Linked DNA regions of Arabidopsis thaliana. The protein of the gene in region 2 interacts with the protein of the main gene of each other region in a pairwise test. Each region holds a gene or a part of one and is shown on either strand. Other genes may lie near its edges. The genes, in order: AT1G66500, CLPS3, AT5G43620 and PCFS4.

Region 1 (4,109 bases), on a different chromosome or scaffold from region 2:
TACATGTTACGGTAGGTAGCACATACCAAAAATGCAACAAATGAAAATTGTAGCTCCCCAAGTAGCAAGTCTTCCGAGTCTTTGTACTCTTTTGACAATACGCTTTCTAGCAATTGAGTCTATACAAAGAAAAATAGAGGAAATGGCTTCACATGAATTTTGAGATTCAAAGTTCAAACATCTACTGAAAATGTAAAGAGGAAGGATCAAGTAAGAGGAGATACCTTGTCAAGATTCATAGAGGTTAGCTCCTGTCCAGACATTCCCTTGTGCTTTATAATCCGAGGAATAGACGTGTAGTAAAACCTATTCCCTTTAGGTTGCTCAGTAGATGATGTCGTAAACTTGCTTTTTTTCATCTGCGTATCAAGTGCTATTTCCATTGCCGTTTTAGGTCCACCTTTTAGAATAGCAGATTCATATGTGACTGTTATTTCTCCTCCAACTGGCTCTGCAAAATTGAACATAAAATTTTTGAACAAGCCAAACTTTACAGTGTTCACTACTCGAGTGAGGGAAAACATTAACAATGTGGTTAAAGAATCCTCCAAATTATAAGGTTCACATACCAAACTTTTCAACAACATCCTTTGTAATGTAGTTAGATAAGTGCCTCCACTCCCCATATTGCTTTAAATTGTATGGGCCAAGATTTTTGTCAAACTCTAAAGACCTGACTGCTTGAGAATATCTCTCTTCCTAGCAACAAAAGAGCAGAATAAATATAAATAAGCCAGCACTAATTCTCAAGCCTACTAACTAATGGCTCATGCAACATGATTTGATTATATTCCTATCTAGCAGGCATTGAACAAATATCACAAAGAGGCAAATCGCTGACCAACATATACGCAACATTGAGAAAATTACTGCACTAGGTTATTAAAAGGACATACCTCTTCTTCAGACACTTTGGTTAACCACTCGTCTTGCTGATTCCATTTGCGTACAATAACCTTGTATATTCAACAAAAGATAGTAAATATATATCTACTTACAATATATACAGTTTCATGGTGCTACTAACAGGATATCACAGAGAGACAAGAACATTACTAAATGTTTTCTCTGTAATAGCGATCTATATAGATAACTACAAACACAAACTATTCAAAGTTGTGATTCCAAACCTGAGAAGGGGCAACATCAACAAAGAAGCCAATGGTGGGTGAAAACTCTCTACCATCCCTGAAGATAAGAAAATGAAAGTCTGCATTATCAGCCAAAGCATATCGATAACCATGGTACGGTTTTTAATGAGTACGACATCACAAATTTAAAAAACCATTTAAAGACTTAAACCTTGTCGATGAACTATAGAATACAAAGTGAATTCCAGGAGGTATCATCTTAATCCCTTTGAAAGCTGGTCCAACTGCGAATATCTGTAACCACAATACAAAACATTGTCGTTATAGGCCAATGAATATGCTCAAGAAATATGTTTCACAATCATACAGAAATCAAAATCCATAGCCAATAAAGAATCTTCAAAAGCTCAAAAACCTCAAATTTTAATCATATTCAAACTCAAAATACACTTTCTTCTCGAGATATTTACTAAACCAAAAAGAAACTATACAAGGAGAATCAGTTCCACATTAAAAAGCTTTAAACTTGGAATAAAGTAACAAACTTTGAAACTGAGAAAAGTTGAAATTCGATAAAAGCTTTAAACTTAGAAGTAGACAAACCTGAGTATCGATTCCGACCAGTGTATATTGAGGAACATCGAGAAATAGAAGTGTAGCTCCATGCTTCACAAGCTCTAGTGCCTTCTCAGAATCCATAGCTTCCTTCTTCTTCGTCTTCACTAATTTAGCGTCGAATTCAATAAAGAACAGCAAAATACAGAGCGGAACAACGAGTAGATTCCAGAAGGCCCAATTTAACAGGCCCATTAACAAACTGGGCCTATAAACCGTGGCCCAAAACACGTGACAACGCGCGATTCACGCGGTTTACTTTATCAACCGACATAAACGTTTATTTATAGAGAAACCTATCTTCGCGTCTCTTCAGATTCGTTTTATTTTTCAATCGTTTCAATTTCTAAAATTCTCCTCTCTCAACGCAATCACCAAATCCAAATTTAGGGTTTCTTTTCTCTTTCTGCGATCGATCTCTGAAAACTCATAACTGTTGTTTAATCGTGAAGATGGCATCAAACGGATCTTTCTCTGCTCAGAGAAACGCAAACGCTAGAACAACGATGAAGAGAAGAAGCGACAATCGCGGTTACGGTGGCGGAATCGGAGGTTATCAAGAGGAGACGAACCGTTACGCGCCGCCGCAAAAACGTTTCAGATCACAAGCGCAACAGCAATTCCGATCTGGTCATAATCCTCTGTATCATCATCATGGTAGTAATAATAATAACGTGTCTAGGGTTTCTTCTCAATCATATAACAATTGCGGTGTTGATGTGATTGCTTCTAATTCAAGTTTTGCATTACGTAACAATGATTCTAACACCAACAATTATCAGAAACCCTTTGTTGCTGGTTATGGAAACCCTAATCCCCAAATTGTTCCTCTTCCATTACCTTATCGTAAGCTTGATGACAATCTCTCTTTAGATTCGTTACCTGATTGGGTTCCGAATTCAAGAACCCTAACTCCGAATTATCCTGTTAGGTCATCGAATTTTGTACCAAACACTCCTGTTTTTACGAATGTTCAAAATCCGATGAATCATTCGAACATGGTTTCAGTTGTGTCTCAATCTATGCATCAACCAATTGTTTTGAGCAAAGAATTGACTGATTTGCTTAGTCTTCTTAACAATGAGAAAGAGAAGAAAACTTTAGAAGCAAGTAATAGTGATTCTTTGCCTGTTGGATTAAGCTTTGATAATCCATCGTCACTTAATGTTCGACATGAATCTGTGATTAAGTCTCTGTATTCTGATATGCCGAGACAATGTTCATCGTGTGGGTTGAGATTCAAGTGTCAAGAAGAGCATAGTAAACACATGGATTGGCATGTAAGGAAGAACAGGTCGGTGAAAACCACTACAAGACTGGGTCAGCAACCGAAGAAATCGAGGGGATGGTTAGCAAGTGCATCTTTATGGCTTTGTGCAGCGACGGGAGGAGAGACGGTAGAAGTAGCATCTTTTGGAGGAGAAATGCAGAAGAAGAAAGGAAAGGACGAAGAACCAAAACAACTCATGGTGCCTGCGGATGAAGATCAGAAGAATTGCGCATTATGCGTAGAGCCGTTTGAAGAGTTCTTTAGCCATGAAGATGATGATTGGATGTATAAAGATGCAGTCTACTTAACCAAGAATGGTCGTATAGTTCATGTTAAGTGTATGCCTGAACCCCGACCTGCTAAGGATTTGAGAGAGCCTTCGAGGGTAATGTCTGTTACAGTTCCATCGGTTGCGAAAGCTATAGCCTGCTGATTGAGATTTTTAAGATCTCTGTTTTAGTCATTCGTTTTTTTAAGTAATGTACTTTACTTGAACAAGTTGTAACACAAATACAGTTCTATCAATTGAATCTCCTATTTTACTCTTATCGCCTCTTTACTCTTATGTGTCATTTAATGAATATTCATGCTTCTATATCTCTGTTTTAATCGTCGTTTAGTGTTGAAAAATCATCAAAAAAGTTGTAACTATATTAATCAGAAAAGATTAACGAAATGCTTTAGTTTACACTTAATAACAGAGACAAACGTGAAGCTCGTCTTCTTTTGATTCTCCTTAGGGTTTCTTACTTCGAGAAGAAGACAGAGTAATTCTCACAAACTTGTTTTGCTAATAAACGTTATAAAGCTTTTCAAAATCCTTTTTCAACCCTAATAGTTGATGAGAAATCGAAAAACAAACGAAGAACAATGATAATTCTGTTATTTCACATAAAGTCTCAAATGACAAATACAATGAAACACTCTATTTAAAGTAGAGTGTTTCGGTTTAACCAGGGAAATCACACTTGATTACCTGTTTACATAAACCAGACTCTCTATACCACTAAACCGAAATAAGGAAACCTTGAAACCTAATCGTCCCATGAATGTGCAATTAGCTTTTTCCCTAATTCCTTTGTGTATCTATATATATGTATGGACATTATCATTCTAATGAGATAACACATTCA
Region 2 (5,444 bases):
TTATACGATATTTTTATTATTCTTGTTTTATCATATTCACAATGATAAGTGAAACTTTCTTCTTATATCTATAAATCTCTAATCATCAGTCAAATGATTGAAATTTTCTGTATTTAATGTGCAGGGTTAAAAAAAAAAATGAGGCTATTAAAGCATATAGAAGATCTTGTAGCATGTAAATTTAGAATTTTCTAAATATGTTTTGTCTATTGCAAATGAATGACAATTTTAACATTTTGAACTCAAAACATATCCGTTTTAATTATCTTTCAATTGAATTAGCATAAGAATAAAATATTCTTTTCTATTCTAGGAGAATCATATAAGATTAATGCGACTTGGTTAGACAGACCAACTAATATTCTTCGGATCCGATTCTAAATACAGAGCTTATACAACAATACAATTGAAGTGACTTAAAATGTGATAGTAATTTAGTTGAATTAATAACCAATAATAATACATGTGTGACTTTGAACATTATCATATACTATTTCGAAATCATCCAATAACATAAGATATGTTCGACCTATCAAATTTAAAAATGCTACACACATCACTTGAATATGCTGAACCAAACAAACAGAACTAACGCACTAGTAAATCAACATTATTTTTTGCTCACTTCATAACATCAAATTACAACCAACCATCTATTCCGCAATAATGATCTTTTAAACTCAAAAACTTGTGCATTTGATAAAGAAGAAAAAGGCTATTTGTAATTAACGTTACATAATCGAGCTGCTGCATCATTCTCTCAAGCAAAAAACATGGCTCCTCTCTTCTCTAAGTAAGTCATACTGACTCAAGCCATGCCAATGATCCAGCGACCAACAACTTGCTAGGTAATGTCCCAGGCGATGGTGCTAAATACGTTATCTTCTTCTTCTGCACATTAACTTCCGTCACATACACAAACCCAGAAACATTGCTGTATCAAAGAAAAAACAGAGAGAAAGAAATATCAAAATCACGAAGAAAACATACACGAAAGCCTTTGATTCTGGAAACAGCAAGAACTTTTAGAGATTACCTTGAGATGATCTGGTCTGGTTCTTCTGCGTATGAGACAGCAAGAACAGAATGCAGCAGATCCCGATCATCGATATTTACAGGCGTCACCCGCAACGGATTTGAAACCGAGGTAGACCCGGCTGGAAGAGCCGATTTTGGCGCTTGTGGTCCACCACCAATTCGGAACACTTGCAGATCACTGAAACTCGATGTATTGGCATACGGAGAGAGTTCTTTCGATAAACCGTAAAAATATTCCTGGAAAATTCAGTTTTTGAGTTCTGAGTTACACCTCCAAAGGCATGAAAAAAGGGATATTAAAAGATTTGAGATTGAAAATTTTACCTGAATCTTAAAGTTCCTTGATCTTTTACGGACCTCTTTGACCCTGGCTACAACTCCACCAGACTTGTGAAGCTTCACGACGTCGACATTACTCTTACTTCTCAGCACATCTTTAAGCCTGCTGAAGAGTTTTTCCTGACCCAATACAAGTACAACCGAGGCATTGAATGTGTCTATTGCGTGGAGAAGCAGCTGCAAGACGAAGCAGATACAGTTCTTTATCAGGCATTTGCATAATGAAATCCACTAAGAAGGAGCTAACTATACCAAAAAATACGCTAAAAAGGATCTAACTTTTACCTCATAACCAATCCCCTCGATCCATCCCATTGTGTTGATCACCATTCCAGCAGCTCGCGATTCAGGGTTTCCGACAAACTGTTTCTCCAGAACTTGAGCAAGCTCTTTCACCAGAGCTTTGTACAGTTCAACGTTCATACTGAGAGAGCCAAAGTAGACATATTTAAATTCCTCATCGAGGGGAATAACGTATGATGGGTAGGAGAAATTTGAGAATCACTTACTTTGGTGATGCGTGGCCGTAGTAGTAAACAAGGGCCATATCAAGAGGAAACCCTTCAACTGGATCCAGTGGCATTTCAATAGGGGCAGCAGCAATAGATCCTGGTATTGTAATCGAGCCTTGGCCAACATCAAGGTCTACAAATGTAGGTCTCCATCCCTGTTTAGCTGCCCAACTAAGGAGCATCTTTGTCAATGTGCTCTTCCCGGAATCCGTAGGCCCTACTACAATAACCCGAGGTCCCTGCATTAAGTGAATTCTTAAGAACCAAGTGTTTTAACTATGCTGATATTGCAATACAATAATATTGAATATCGAAGAAAAGTACCTGAGAAGATTCTGGGTCATTAGATGTGGAAGCTTTGGCAAAACGTCTCCTTGCATCTAGTATGGCATGCACATTAATGTAGCTGACCATCGGCGTCTGGAAACAGAGATGTAGTTAGTAAACAAAATTTGCTCTACATATTTAAAGCAAGCGTAGGAATGAAACAAGTAATCCAACCTCATCTGCTGTATAGTCAGTTTCCGTGACACCATCCATCTCAATTGTCGCTCCATACCAAGTGAAAACCTGACAATAATCAAAAGGCACAAGATGGTAAGCACGGTGTTTCAGAGCTCCGATTATGAACTTTACATAAATCATTAGCAGAAGGAAAAATAGAAAAGAAAGAAATTGGGGGGGAAAATCACATCTATCATCAATCTTTTTATACAACCCACTTAACAATTCTTACCTAGACAGCATAATCTTCATTTACAACCTAAATCATAAGTCTTTCATCCAACTCAAACCCAAAAACCCTCAAACTTCACTGGCAAAGGATGTACCTTTCCAACCCCAAAAGGCCAGAGGGTGAATTCAATAGTAACTCAAGAACCCACTTTAAGAAAGATAACCACTAAAAGAAACTAAATCAAGAATGGCTAGTTATTTTCTACCAACAAACCCAACACCAAATATGTTACCAACAAGCTACATTTTATCTATAAGCCATAAAGCATAATGCTTACGATCGCTCTAAAAACCAAGGATTAAGAAAACACATACCGCAAATTTCATGCGAGGAGGGAAGGTACGCCATATTTCAGGAGGCAGTTCAGAGCCAAAAATCTCAGCGGTCCCGTTAACCACACGGAGTCTGAGAGGCTCTTCAGAGACTTCGATCCTGAGCTCGCTTTCTCTCTCCAATTTCACTTGCTTCAGATTAGCAGACCCGGGAACAGCTCCACTCAAAGCCGGTGGATTCATGGACGGACCACCGTACGCCATTGCTTTCACTCAGAGTAAGATATAATTGTAGACTATCTATCACTCGGAGTAACAGGAGCTCTCTTTAAGTCATTATACACACTTGCGCTTGTAATCGCTCTTCTTCTTCTTAAAAACAAAAGTATAATCAAGTTAATCTCTGCAAACAGAAAAGAAAAATGCAAACTTTACTAGATTTAAACAGCCAATCTTGACCCCGGAATTATAAAAGCACAACAGAGATCAATTTCAAACAACCAATGTATCAAAATTCATCACTAGAGTAACAATCATATATATATAAGAGAAAGTAATAGAACAGCAACAGAGAAAGAAAAACGAGAGCCATCGATTTCTGTACCCAGAAATCGAAAAAGAGAGAACGAGAGAGCAAAAAGAAGACGAATTACCAAAAAAAGGGTCAATGGAGGGAAGACTGAAGGCGGCGAAAGAATGAACGGCGATTCTACGGCGAGGAGAAACGGACGTCGGAGATTCGCAAACGTGTGTGTGTGTTTGAGGAGAAACAGTGAATTCGACTTACGAAATCAATTTACTTTAGGTTTATATCGCTGTAATTTCCATTTTTTCGATTAAGGCAAAATTGGAAAACGAATTAATCCCGGTTTGAGCCGTTAACCGACCTGAACAACCTTTTCCATTTTTCTACTATACAGTTTTCCGGTTAATATAATAATTTGTTTCTAGCTTAATAAACTCAGTAAAATATAACTTAATACAAAAATTTACCATAGAAAAATTCTAACTACGAATCTTAATACAATGTATTTTTGATTACATGTAACATCACAAAGGGATATAATTTTACAAATGTTTTTATTGAAAAATACCACTCAATATAAATGAAATCATCTTCAAATTTTGTTACCCAGATTCCTTTTCTAATCCTGCAATTAACACAAAAACAAAAACTTTAACACCAAAATTAAGAGAAGAAAAACAAAATTAGTATACGTATTGCGAAATTACCTTATCGTCCTTTGGGATTTACAATCTGAGAGAATATTTCGGTATTGTCCTCTGAGGAGAGATCACTCACATCATCTCTACCGGCGACGTTAACCGCCATGCCTCCTCTACCGAGATCCTCAGAGCTTCCTCCATTATTCGGAGTCCGATGACGAGTCCCGTCAGCAGTCTCTTGAAGCTGAAGTGCGAATTCGAGATTCCACAAAACATCTCCCATTGTCGGCCGTTCTAATCCACTATCGTTAAGACACTTCTCCGCCGTGTCTGCAAATTTCTTCAAACACTCTGCATTGATCTTCCCTTTCAGATTCGGATCGATTATATCCTCTAAATTCCCTTTTCGTTTGCAATTCATTGCCCAGTCTCCGAGACTCACTTGTTCCTTAGGCAAACTCGGGTTTAACGCTGGTCTTGCGCATAAGATTTCGAACAGAACAACTCCGAATGAGTAAACGTCTGATTTCTCAGTCAGTTGTTGTCTTCTGAAGTATTCAGGATCTAAATAACCGAAGCTTCCTTTGACGACGGTTGTTACATGGCCTCCATTCATGTTAGGTCCAGTTTTGGATAACCCAAAGTCTGAAACTTTGGCTACCCAGTTCTCATCTACGAGGATGTTAGTTGTTTTAACGTCTCTGTGTATAATCGTGTACTTTGCTCCTGTGTGAAGGTAATGTAATCCTCTTGCTGCTCCAATAGCTATCTCTAGCCTTCGTTTCCAAGTTAATTGTGGTTTCTTTGTGTTGTATAGATGCTCACGGAGTGTTCCAAATGCCATGTAATCGTATACGAGACACATTTCTCCTCCCTCGTCGCAGTATCCTATCAAGGAGACTAAGTGTTTGTGTCTTAGTCTTGAGAGGAGTTCGATTTCTGTCTCGAATTCGTTGAGTCCTTGTTCTGAATTTGGGTTTGATTTTTTTACCGCTACTTTAGTTGTGCCGTCTATAACTCCTTTGTAGACTTTACCAAACCCTCCAACTCCAATGACGTTGGAATCATCGAAGTTTTGTGTTCCGTGTTTGATTTCTGGTAAAGAGAATCTACGGCATAAACCTGCTGCGAGATTGGATAGGTGACTTCCATTGTTGCTCTTCCCTGAGATGGTTGATTTGGTTCCTGATGTGGTAGAGTTTCCATATATAGGAAGCCAACTTGATGTGTGAGAGTCGCCTCCTTGATATCCTTGTTTCTTCTTGTAGGCCGTGAAACACAAGGCACCGATTAAAACCGCTAAAACTCCTCCGGCCGAACCAATGATGAAAGCGTGTCTCTTTTCGTTCTTGAATTCTTTTTTAACCTCTTCCTCAGCTT
Region 3 (3,901 bases), on a different chromosome or scaffold from region 2:
TAAATTTATGGTGATATCTGTTATCTACTAACTTAATTAGATTGATTAATTGATATTCTTACGGATTTGGTTTTCGTTAACCATAAGGAATTTGCTATATCAATAGAAAACAGTAATCGTTTTGTGTAACATAAATATTAAAGTGTCAAATTAAGGATGTGTTCTTTTTGTTGTCATCGCAGGACTCTCTCTAGGCGTTTTAAACATGACAATAGTGATACCACAAATGGTTGTATCATTTGGAGTTGGTCCTATTGATGCGTTATTTGGAGGTGGGAATTTACCAGGATTTGTGGTTGGAGCTATTGCAGCGGCAATCAGCAGTGTTGTGGCATTTTCCGTTTTACCATAATTTTTTTTGCGTTTTATTTGGTATATATGGACATGTTTAATATTATTGTAGCACTAGATAAGGACCCATACATGTATACTTGAAATTAATTTAAATTTCTCCTGTTAAATTACTGAAATTAATTTAAAATTTATGGCAGTTCTTACAAATAACACAAAAAATAAGTTAATTCCAAATTTAGCAAATCATCTCCAAAGTTCCAAAGTAACACAAATTAAATACATAAAACTTTTTTTTTTAACTTTATGGATGAATTAGGAAAATGTCGCCTAAAGATAAAAAAACAATTCTCTTGAAAAAAAAATATTCTTATATACCACGGTTTAAAACATTTTGTTCCAAATTGACTCTTAATTCCCACAAATTTTCTTTCTCTGATGGTAGATTATATGAGTCACAAAATTATCATTATTCGGTAGTAACTATTATTTTCTTTGTTTCTTATTAATTAATTTTTTAGAAAAAAAAGTTTGTTTCATGAAGCAATTTTTTAGGTTTTCTATACACTATTTATTAGTTATTATTGATGAATTTTAAACTTCAAGACAAATAATTAAATATCAGTAGTTTAAAATTATATAAAAATGTAAATCACAAAAGTTAATACATTTATAATCAATTTTAACATGTTTTTTTTAATCTATGTATTTTTTTCTAAAAAATGAATAATTAAAACATGACTAAATTTTGGCGACTTTCTATATCGTTTTGGCTAGTTTAATTATTTTATATTTTAATTATTTACAAAGATTGATATTACTGTCTTCTTTTCTTTTCTATTTTTGAACTATATATCACTCGTAAAAACTTCATCTTACACAAAAAAAGAAAAAAAGGTGATACATACGAATCTAAAGACCTGACTGCTTGAGAATACCTCTCTTCCTGGCATCAAAGGGATTGAAAAGAATGAAAATTGCGCTGACCAACGTATAAGCAGGATTGTTAAATTTACTGCACTAGGTTATTAAAAGGCCATACCTCTTCTTCAGATACTTTGTTTAACCACTCGTCTTGCTGATTCCATTTGCGTACAATAACCTTGTTTAGTCAACAAAAGATAGTGAATATATATTCACTTACGGTTTATACAGTTCCATGGTGCTACTAACAGGATATCACAGAGACCAGAGACCAGAACATTACTAAATGACATTTGAGGAATTTGATAAAAGTTCAAATTCGATAAAAGCTTTAAACTTTGAAGAAGTAGTTAACAAACCTGAGTATCGATTCCAACAAGCGTATGCTGAGGAACATCGAGAAAGAGAAGCGTAGCTCCATGCTTTACAAGCTCTAGTGCCTTCTTAGAATCCATAGCTTCCTTCTTCAAAATAGAGCGGAACAACGACTATATTCCAGAAGCCCCATTAAACAGGCCCATTAAAATATTGGGCCTATAAAGCGTGGCCCAAAACATGTGACAACGCGCGATTCACGCGGTTTACTTTATCAACCGACATAATCACATAAACGTTTATTTATAGAGAAACCTATCTTCCTGCCTCTTCAGATTCGTTTTATTTTTCAATCGTTTCAATTTCTAAAATTCTCAACGCGATCACCCCAATCCAAATTTAGGGTTTCTTTTGTCTTTCTGCGATCGATCTCTGGTAACTCATAACTTGTTGTTGAATCGCGAAGATGGCATCAAACGGATCCTTCTCTGCTCAGAGAAACGCAAACGCTGGAACAACGATGAAGAGACGAAACGACAATCGCGGTTACGGTGGCGGAATCGGATGTTATCAAGAGGAGAGGAACCGTTACGCGCCGCCGCAAAAACGTTTCAGATCGCAACTGCAACAGCAATTCCGATCTGGTCATAATCCTCTGTATCATTATGGTAGTAATACTAATAATAACGTGTCTAGGGTTTCTTCTCAGTCATATAACAATTACGGTGTTGATGTGATTGCTTCTAATTCAAGTTTTGCTTTACCTAACAATGATTCTAACACCAACAATTATCAGAAACCCTTTGTTGTTTATGGAAACCCTAATCCCCAAATTGTTCCTCTTCCATTACCTTATCGTAAGCTTGATCCTTTAGATTCGTTGCCTCAATGGGTTCCAAATTCAACTCCGAATTATCCTGTTAGGTCATCGAATTTTGTACCAAACACACCTGATTTTACGAATGTTCAAAATCCGATGAATCATTCGAACATGGTTTCAGTTGTGTCTCAATCGATGCATCAACCAATTGTTTTAAGCAAAGAATTGACTGATTTGCTTAGTCTTCTTAACAATGAGAAAGAGAAGAAAACTTCAGAAGCAAGTAATAATGATTCATTGCCTGTTGGATTAAGCTTTGACAATCCATCATCGCTTAATGTTCGACATGAATCTGTGATTAAGTCTCTGTATTCTGATATGCCGAGGCAATGTACTTCGTGTGGGGTGAGATTCAAATGTCAAGAAGAGCATAGTAAACATATGGATTGGCACGTAAGGAAGAACAGGTCGGTGAAAACCACTACAAGACTTGGTCAGCAACCGAAGAAATCGAGGGGATGGTTAGCGAGTGCATCTTTATGGCTTTGTGCACCAACGGGAGGAGGGACCGTAGAAGTAGCATCTTTTGGAGGAGGAGAAATGCAGAAGAAGAATGAAAAGGATCAAGTACAAAAACAACACATGGTGCCTGCGGATGAAGATCAGAAGAATTGCGCGTTATGCGTAGAGCCGTTTGAAGAGTTCTTTAGCCATGAAGCTGATGACTGGATGTACAAAGATGCAGTCTACTTAACCAAGAATGGTCGTATAGTTCATGTTAAGTGTATGCCTGAACCCCGACCTGCTAAGGATTTGAGAGAGCCGTCGAGGGTAATGTCTGTTACAGTTCCATCGGTTGCGAAAGCTATACTCTGCTGATTGAGATTTTTTATATCTCTGTTTTAGTCATTCGTTTTTTTAAAAGTAAATGTACATTACATTAATCAAGATGTAACACAAATACAGTTCTATCAATTGAATCTCCTATTTTACTCTTATCACCTCTTTACTTTTAATCCGGAGTTATAGAGTCTGTTTTATTGTAATCCAGAATTATAGTATAGATTGTTCCGGATTAACCAGTGAAATCTCACTTGATTCCCGGTTTACATAAACCAGACTCTCTATACCAATAAACCGAAACAAGGAAACCAATTCCTTTGTGTAACTCTCTATATTTATTCTCATTCTAATGAGATAACACATTCACAATCTATAAGTATAATGATGATGTCTGATCTTCCGGTGGCTTTGGTAGAAGAGATACTCTCTAGGGTTCCATTAACATCTCTAAGCGCGGTGCGATCTACTTGTAAAACGTGGAACGCTGTAGGATTAACATCTCTGTAGACTTATATTGGTATATGGTTTATGCGTAAGATTTCTCTTTTAAACCTTTTAAAAGAAGAATCTTTTATTTTGTTAGGTAACCCCTCGTCGGCCCTTTAAGTTTCTTACACCACGTGATCGGTTATCCTATGTATATACTACGTTCGTGAATGACCTATTGGGTATCCAATGCAAATCACAAGGTTAGACTAATACTGTTTG
Region 4 (6,559 bases), on a different chromosome or scaffold from region 2:
ATATGGAGTTAAAATCTTTGTTATTAGTACACTACTAGTTTCTGTTAGCTCTCTCTTATCCCATTCAACCAACGGTCCAATTTTCTAACAAAGGCAAAATAAAAGGGCAATGATGTGTGTTCTTAACCTGATCTTTTGTTCTAGCTTAGTTCATATTGCATATTGCAAGCTGTTTTCTTATATTCATACTATAATAGACTATTTTCACAATGTATATAACAAACATGAATTTTACTCCAGCCATTACATCTATTGATCATCACATACTCTTGTTTAGAGACTAACGGTTGAGACAAAGCCAGATTTGAACTGAGTTTGCTCTGCAGTCCTATAAGGTACTACCAGAACTAAATCATAACCTTTAAATCTTTATAATTCCATATTTCAAATGTAACAGTCATGAAAAAACTCTAGTTTGATCGAGCAAAAAGCCAAGTAAGTTCGAAAGCTTTAACTATCGTTCAATCTACTTCGACATAAATCCGGCTCTGTATCATGTAGGTATGAAGATACAAGTAGTGGAAATTTCAAAAGCAAAAGGTTCAGATAGAAGAAAAGTAAAACTTGTTTCATTATAGACAAAGTCAAGAGAACAAATACGCTTAAAGAGAGTTATGTTAACTAACATTTTTAGCTAACAGCCTAACATAGAAAGGTAAAACTCAGACAGGGAAAGCTCTAAAGAAGAAACCTGAAACTGGTTCTCTTAGCAACAGCATCTATGAGATCCATTCATCATAAGAAATCTGTTCACATTCGAATATCAGTCTTCTCGGGCTTTCCCTGCAATATCTAAAGATGAAAAAGAAAAAGACAATCCGAAACAGAGACATTGTATTCCATTTACATGGGGAAACTACTGTTGCGACATCTGATTTTACTACTACAAGCACCCCAGGTTAGGTGTAGCAGAGAATGCAGAACAGTTACACGATATCCATGTCCTAAGGCACAACAGGAATTTAGAGGCATAAAGAATGATAATATATGTGGGTGTAAACCTCTTTTTTTCAATGGTACAGTTTTAGGAGAAAGAAGACTCTCTCCATCATTTCTCTTCATTGGTGGTATTCTGTGACTAAGTGCATATAGATGATGAAGAAATAAGAATGTAACTTAAATGTAGTCAAGAAAAAGACCTAAAATTCGGTCTAAGGGATCTAACTCCGCATCTTTTTCCTCTGACTACCCTCTTCCATATCACCCTGAAAAAGCCATGATCGGGAAATCAAGAGGTCGTCACTGGATAAATGTCTAGCAGCGAAAATGAAAATGGATTCAACTAGACACAAATGAAGCTAATGAAAATGCATGGAATGGCTTACCCCATTGGACTCTGGCCTGCACTTTGCATGCACTATAGGACCTAACTGAGACTTGTCCATATCTGTTGTTGATTCTTCAGGAGCATTCATGTATACCGCACCTTTGTACATCCATTCCTCGGTTTCATCACTATAAAAGTCTTCAAATGGCTCACCACATAATGCACATGAAGTTTGGTCTTCATCTGCAGGAACTGCCATATCTTCGTCATCCTTCTTTTCTGTTGTTGGCTCCGTGGGCAAGAACCCTGGTACTGCTTCAGCTCCAAGTGCTTCTGCACCACTGAGCCACATGCTAGCACTTACAAACCATTTCCGAGAAGGGTTCTGCTTATGGTTCTTGGACATCCTGTTCTTGGTTACATGCCAATCCATGTGCTTACTGTGCTCTTCTTGGCACTTGAAGCGTAGACCACAGGTTGTGCATTGCCTCGGGAGATCCCCATATAAAGCACTGATTGCAGACTCATTACGTATCTTGAGCATGTCTGCATCAAACTCCAACCCCAATGGTCCCTGAATATATAAACCAACAATTCAAGATAAAGCAATAACTAAGAACAAACCGACTCTCAAGGACATGATTTGAATAATTACCTGACCAGCAGGCTGATTGTTCAATGAGATCAAACCTTGAGCCATGAGAGAGCCAATCAGACCAGAGAATGCGCCACCTGGTGGTTGATTAGAGGCTCCTATCTGAGATAAAACTCCTGAAGAAAGAGGATGCATGGCTTCCCCACCTTGGATTGATAAAGATGGTCTAATGGTTGACCCATGTGGAGGGTACCCATGACTTACGTGGGTTAACAACGATTGCATTGGCCTTGGAGCCATAGCAGATGAGGATGGCAAATAATTAACTAGCATCTGATTCTGTTGAGTCATATCATTAAGATGACTCTGAGAGACCTGGTTTTCGGGCCTATATAAAGGCTTACCTTGCAAGCGATTTGACATCGCATTACCGGGATTTGCCAAATGATGCAAATGAGCAGAAGGTACAGGGAGAGAGTTGGGTCCTCTAGCACTCAAATGGGGCCATGTCCCATCAGGAAGAGCCCGGCCAAAACGTGAGTTAACATCTTGAATGCTATCAAATGGAGGAGCCCCGAATTCACTGTTTGATGAAACTAACCCTACAGATGAAGCCAATACTTTCAAGTCTTTTCCTGCTCTTGTATCAACACGGTTGGATGTATGTGGATAATTTTGTGACAAACTCCAATTTTCTCGTAGCTGATGACTTACACCATTCTTAATGTCAGAATCTAAATGAAAATCACTTGTGTTTCCTACTCTGGGTCTTGCCCTTACACTTCCTAATGCTGGTACAGATGATCGCAAAAATTCACCAGCTCTGCTACGATCTAGGGTAGGGCTCATATCTTCCCAATCAAACTCTTCTTCCTCAGTGTTCTGCCATGGTGTAACCATCTTACTGTGCATGCCATTCATATCGCGAATTGGTTTATTGATCGTTACGTGTTTGCTGGTGTCAACTCCATATGCATCTATCAACGCTCTAGGTCTTTCGTGATCATTTCCTTGGCCTAAGTTTTCCTTTCTTCGCCATTCCATATGTTCATCATCTCTGCTAGTAGCTCGACCCATTCCATAGTTAAAAGCTTGATTAGAAGGATTAGCTCCATCATTAGACCTCCTGGTAAAACCATCTGGTGTACTAGACAGTGAAGATGGGCTCTCTAACTGATCTTCGAAATCATTATACCCACCGAGTGAATTTTGGCCATAAACTCTTGCACTGGAATTAATTCCTCTCAAATTCTGCATGTCAAGCAAGAGCAATTAAGGAAATATGCATCTCAGGTATAGTCACTCTTTGAAAAAAAACATATAAAAACAGTTCCAAACGACACATGATGCATAAACAGTGATCTACTGTACTATAACCAAAAAAAAACCCTCTACATGTGCTAACAAGATCATTTCTAATGTACCAGAGTCCCAGTGACCTACTCATCATGTATAACTGAGAGAGGCCATAACAACAACTCCCTTCCAGTCAAGATTGATTACTTGAAGAATGTAAACATCTATCTCGTCTAACTAACAAAACTTTAAAGAAATACAATGGATAAGACCACTATGAGGCCAAACTAATCTAATACCCGTTTTACTTAGTACACTTATATAAAATTAACACACCATAGCTTCAAGGTTGCAGATGCACCTAAAAAAAGAATGTCATCTCTGTTCATAATGACAAAGAGAAAGGCTTACATTTTCGGCGGCTGAGGGCTCCAGCCTGCGAAGATATTTTGGATTAACATGTATACCTCTCGTTGGTTGACTAGGCTCAGAAGCCCCTACGGAAGATTGGTTTGCTGCAGATGAAAGTTGCAATTGCATATCAATCTTGCGTAGTACAGGTGGTGGAAAAACACTCGACCAAGTCCCAAACAGGTGACGCATTGACGGATGTAAACTCGGATGTGCTTGCCTATATGCAAGGCAGAAGACCTAAAGCAGAATAGGATCAAAACAGCTCATGGGTATGCTTCAGCCCTATTCAAATCATTTAAGTAAACATCTTCTTGTAGACTGCTCACCTCGGGTAGACGGGATGAGAAATAGCGACCATAATCCCGCCCAATGTTCTTAACAATGCTGTCTAAAAGATACAGAGATGGCAACTTTTGCTCAACAGGAGCCTGCATATATACACCCACAGGTAACTCAGAAGCAGCCATTTCACTAAACCACAAACCAAACACTAATCTCTGACAATCAAAAACCTAATTTTTTTCCCACTTCTACACTTACATACTATACAATAAGGCTAGAAAGTGGAAACAAATAAGAAGAAAGCAAACCTCAAGGATTCGAGTGCAAATAGCATTAGCGATTCCTTCACCATGTTCCCGTTGTTCACCAGCGATAATAGTGAGATCAGTGATAATAGGCTTAGAATTGAAAGTAAGCTCACCCAAAACAACCTCATAAAGCTGAACAATCTCATCCATACTCGGAGGCAAAACCTCTTCACCACCACCGAACTCATCTTCACGCTGATTAAGCAAAGCTTTAAACCGGTCTAACAACGACGGCGGTGGCGGCGGTTTCTGCGGCAACTCAACGGACATACCTTTGCGGCTGGTGCTATTAATCGAAACAAGTCTTGGATTGAGGATTTTCTCTGAGTCCATCCCCAATTCAATAGTGAAGAGTGATAATTAGTGGCAGCATAAAGGCTCTAGGGTTTCTGTTCCACCATGGAAACTCCTCGAATCGCCACCCTTGTGGGGGAAGAGAGAGATAGAGATCGATAACGGAAGTTTTTTTTTTTTTAGTGAAGAGGATTTTTTTTTCTTCTCAATTTTGTATCTCTACTTTATGCAAATCTCATTTTTGTCCCTTTTTTTTTAGAGTTATCAACTACATCCCAATTATTGTTTTTACCCGTTTTGAGTCACACAGATTTTTGACTTTTACTATGACCTCATCAATTAATCACGTTGCAATTCTCTTCTTTCCCTTATTTGAAAAGTTTGATCTTGCCTCTTGGTGACACTAAATTTAGTTTTGAGGAACTATTTCATTTCTTAGCTTATTTATCTATCTTGATAAAGTTTGAATCTATCTTGTTTTGATTCTACTCATGGACTATGAATGATTTTTTTTTTGGTAGACAATTAGATTTTATATTATTTTTGATTTTTGACAGAAATACAGAGATTAGCAAGAAGCGGATTAAAACAATCTACAAAAATAAATACAACATTACAACTCTAATTCATTCAGTTCGCTTTTATGCGTTCAAGGCTAAGTTACGAGTTGAAACACCGATTTTGAACTCGTGAAACTCGGAAATTTGTGTGGTTGTCACATGACCGAAAAAGTGGAATTCTCATGGTAGTTGCCACGAGCATATCTTCGAGAACTTGATTCAAATTGATACAGTTAAAAACACCACCATCAAACCACGTCCTTGTTACGTTTCTTTAAGTTATATTAAAAAAATGTTGGATTAGTTGTATAAAATCCTATAAGGGTTTGAGTTTATTATTACATAATTATAATTATATAGCTTCCTATTTTATAAGTTTAAATTTAATATTTGTTAGTTCCTTTGTTTTTACATTTTAAAATATAAAGTAATTGCTATTTTCAAAAATGTTAATTAATTAGATGCTAAATATGTTAATTATTGATGTGGCAGCTCCCGATTGGTTGTTTTCAAAAATGTTAATTAATTAGATACTAAATATGTTAATTATTTATGTGGCAACTCCCGATTAGTCGTTCTAAATCCTAGGTTATGAATCCACGCTACGCATGGGTCTATTTGTAAAACTTTTTAATATTTTTTTGTGTGAATAAAATTATTATAGAAATTTTTTAAAAGATATGTTTTTATATGTCTACTTGTTGTTAATATTATAAACTCTTTGAATTTTAAAATTACCATGACAATAGTTACAATTTAAATACAAAACTAAAAATAACTTTAATACAACTTTTAGGTTTACAACATTTATCAAAAGAACATTTTTTTGGCTCATGACTCTCTCTTTAGCTTTAGATATTTAGGATCACGACGTCTTTTTATGTATGAAATAAATTGTTTTATGGAAAATAACTTCGACGACTTTCTCATTTTGAAATCCGTAAATTTACTATTCTTTTTTGTTTATCTTCGCTGCATTAGTTAGTATAGCTCGTCTAAAAATAAGATATTATATAGAAGTATATTCATAAGCTTATCTATACTTTACTTTAACAACTCATATTTTCTCACATTCTTTTCAATATGTATATGAATTTCTGTCTTCACAATTTTTTTACAAAGAGCTATCACTCTCCCTATCTTTTTGCAAGCACTCGTTTTATTTGTTTCATTTTTTCTTACAGTGTCTCTTTCCATCCTCTTATGATTTTGTTTAAGCAATATGTGTCATACCTTCTAAACTTTTCACATGTTCCATATTTTTTCTTCGAAAATCTCTTTCTTCTCTAGTTAGTACTAGGGCGAAACCCGAACCAAATCGCGGGCTTTTTTTATTAAAAAATGTAATTTTGTTAAGTTGTATGTAGGTATTGAATGTTATTTGTCATGATTCATGATATATGTAGAACAAAAGAATTCATTAGAAAGTGATTAAGAGCTCAATGCATTTGTTAATTTTTTAAAGTAAGATCTATATAGCTTTTATAAGTTTTGGAAGCTAATTTTTTTGTATTACGAACATCTTTTTAGAAGAGTCATTAAA

What was found.
Region 1: the proteins of CLPS3 (region 2) and AT1G66500 interact in a two-hybrid assay, tested with the Arabidopsis thaliana proteins (one study listed by BioGRID).
Region 3: the proteins of CLPS3 (region 2) and AT5G43620 interact in a two-hybrid assay, tested with the Arabidopsis thaliana proteins (one study listed by BioGRID).
Region 4: the proteins of CLPS3 (region 2) and PCFS4 interact in a two-hybrid assay, tested with the Arabidopsis thaliana proteins (3 studies listed by BioGRID).

The regions. Positions count from the first base shown.
Region 1 is NC_003070.9:24,810,562-24,814,670, reverse strand, and holds AT1G66500 (Pre-mRNA cleavage complex II), read left to right. Parts: upstream 1-2,009; 5' UTR 2,010-2,158; coding exon 2,159-3,409; 3' UTR 3,410-3,591; downstream 3,592-4,109. Other genes in the region: AT1G66510 (AAR2 protein family), read right to left, coding at 27-119, 225-451, 570-699, 897-956, 1,131-1,188, 1,303-1,385, 1,695-1,790.
Region 2 is NC_003074.8:1,269,255-1,274,698, forward strand, and holds CLPS3 (CLP-similar protein 3), read right to left. Parts: upstream 3,751-5,444; 5' UTR 3,551-3,750; exon of another isoform or gene 3,270-3,550; 5' UTR 3,162-3,269; coding exon 2,940-3,161; intron 2,460-2,939; coding exon 2,391-2,459; intron 2,310-2,390; coding exon 2,214-2,309; intron 2,129-2,213; coding exon 1,887-2,128; intron 1,802-1,886; coding exon 1,663-1,801; intron 1,555-1,662; coding exon 1,363-1,554; intron 1,276-1,362; coding exon 1,037-1,275; intron 935-1,036; coding exon 799-934; 3' UTR 507-798; downstream 1-506. Other genes in the region: ANX1 (Malectin/receptor-like protein kinase family protein), read right to left, coding at 4,132-5,444. UniProt on the Arabidopsis thaliana protein: Required for endonucleolytic cleavage during polyadenylation-dependent pre-mRNA 3'-end formation. Functions in gametophyte, embryo and postembryotic development.
Region 3 is NC_003076.8:17,520,657-17,524,557, forward strand, and holds AT5G43620 (Pre-mRNA cleavage complex II), read left to right. Parts: upstream 1-1,829; 5' UTR 1,830-1,996; coding exon 1,997-3,229; 3' UTR 3,230-3,347; downstream 3,348-3,901. Other genes in the region: SUC6 (sucrose-proton symporter 6), read left to right, coding at 183-352.
Region 4 is NC_003075.7:2,470,019-2,476,577, reverse strand, and holds PCFS4 (PCF11P-similar protein 4), read right to left. Parts: upstream 4,713-6,559; 5' UTR 4,496-4,712; coding exon 4,163-4,495; intron 4,001-4,162; coding exon 3,899-4,000; intron 3,810-3,898; coding exon 3,570-3,809; intron 3,114-3,569; coding exon 1,923-3,113; intron 1,842-1,922; coding exon 1,326-1,841; intron 1,206-1,325; coding exon 1,161-1,205; 3' UTR 553-1,160; downstream 1-552.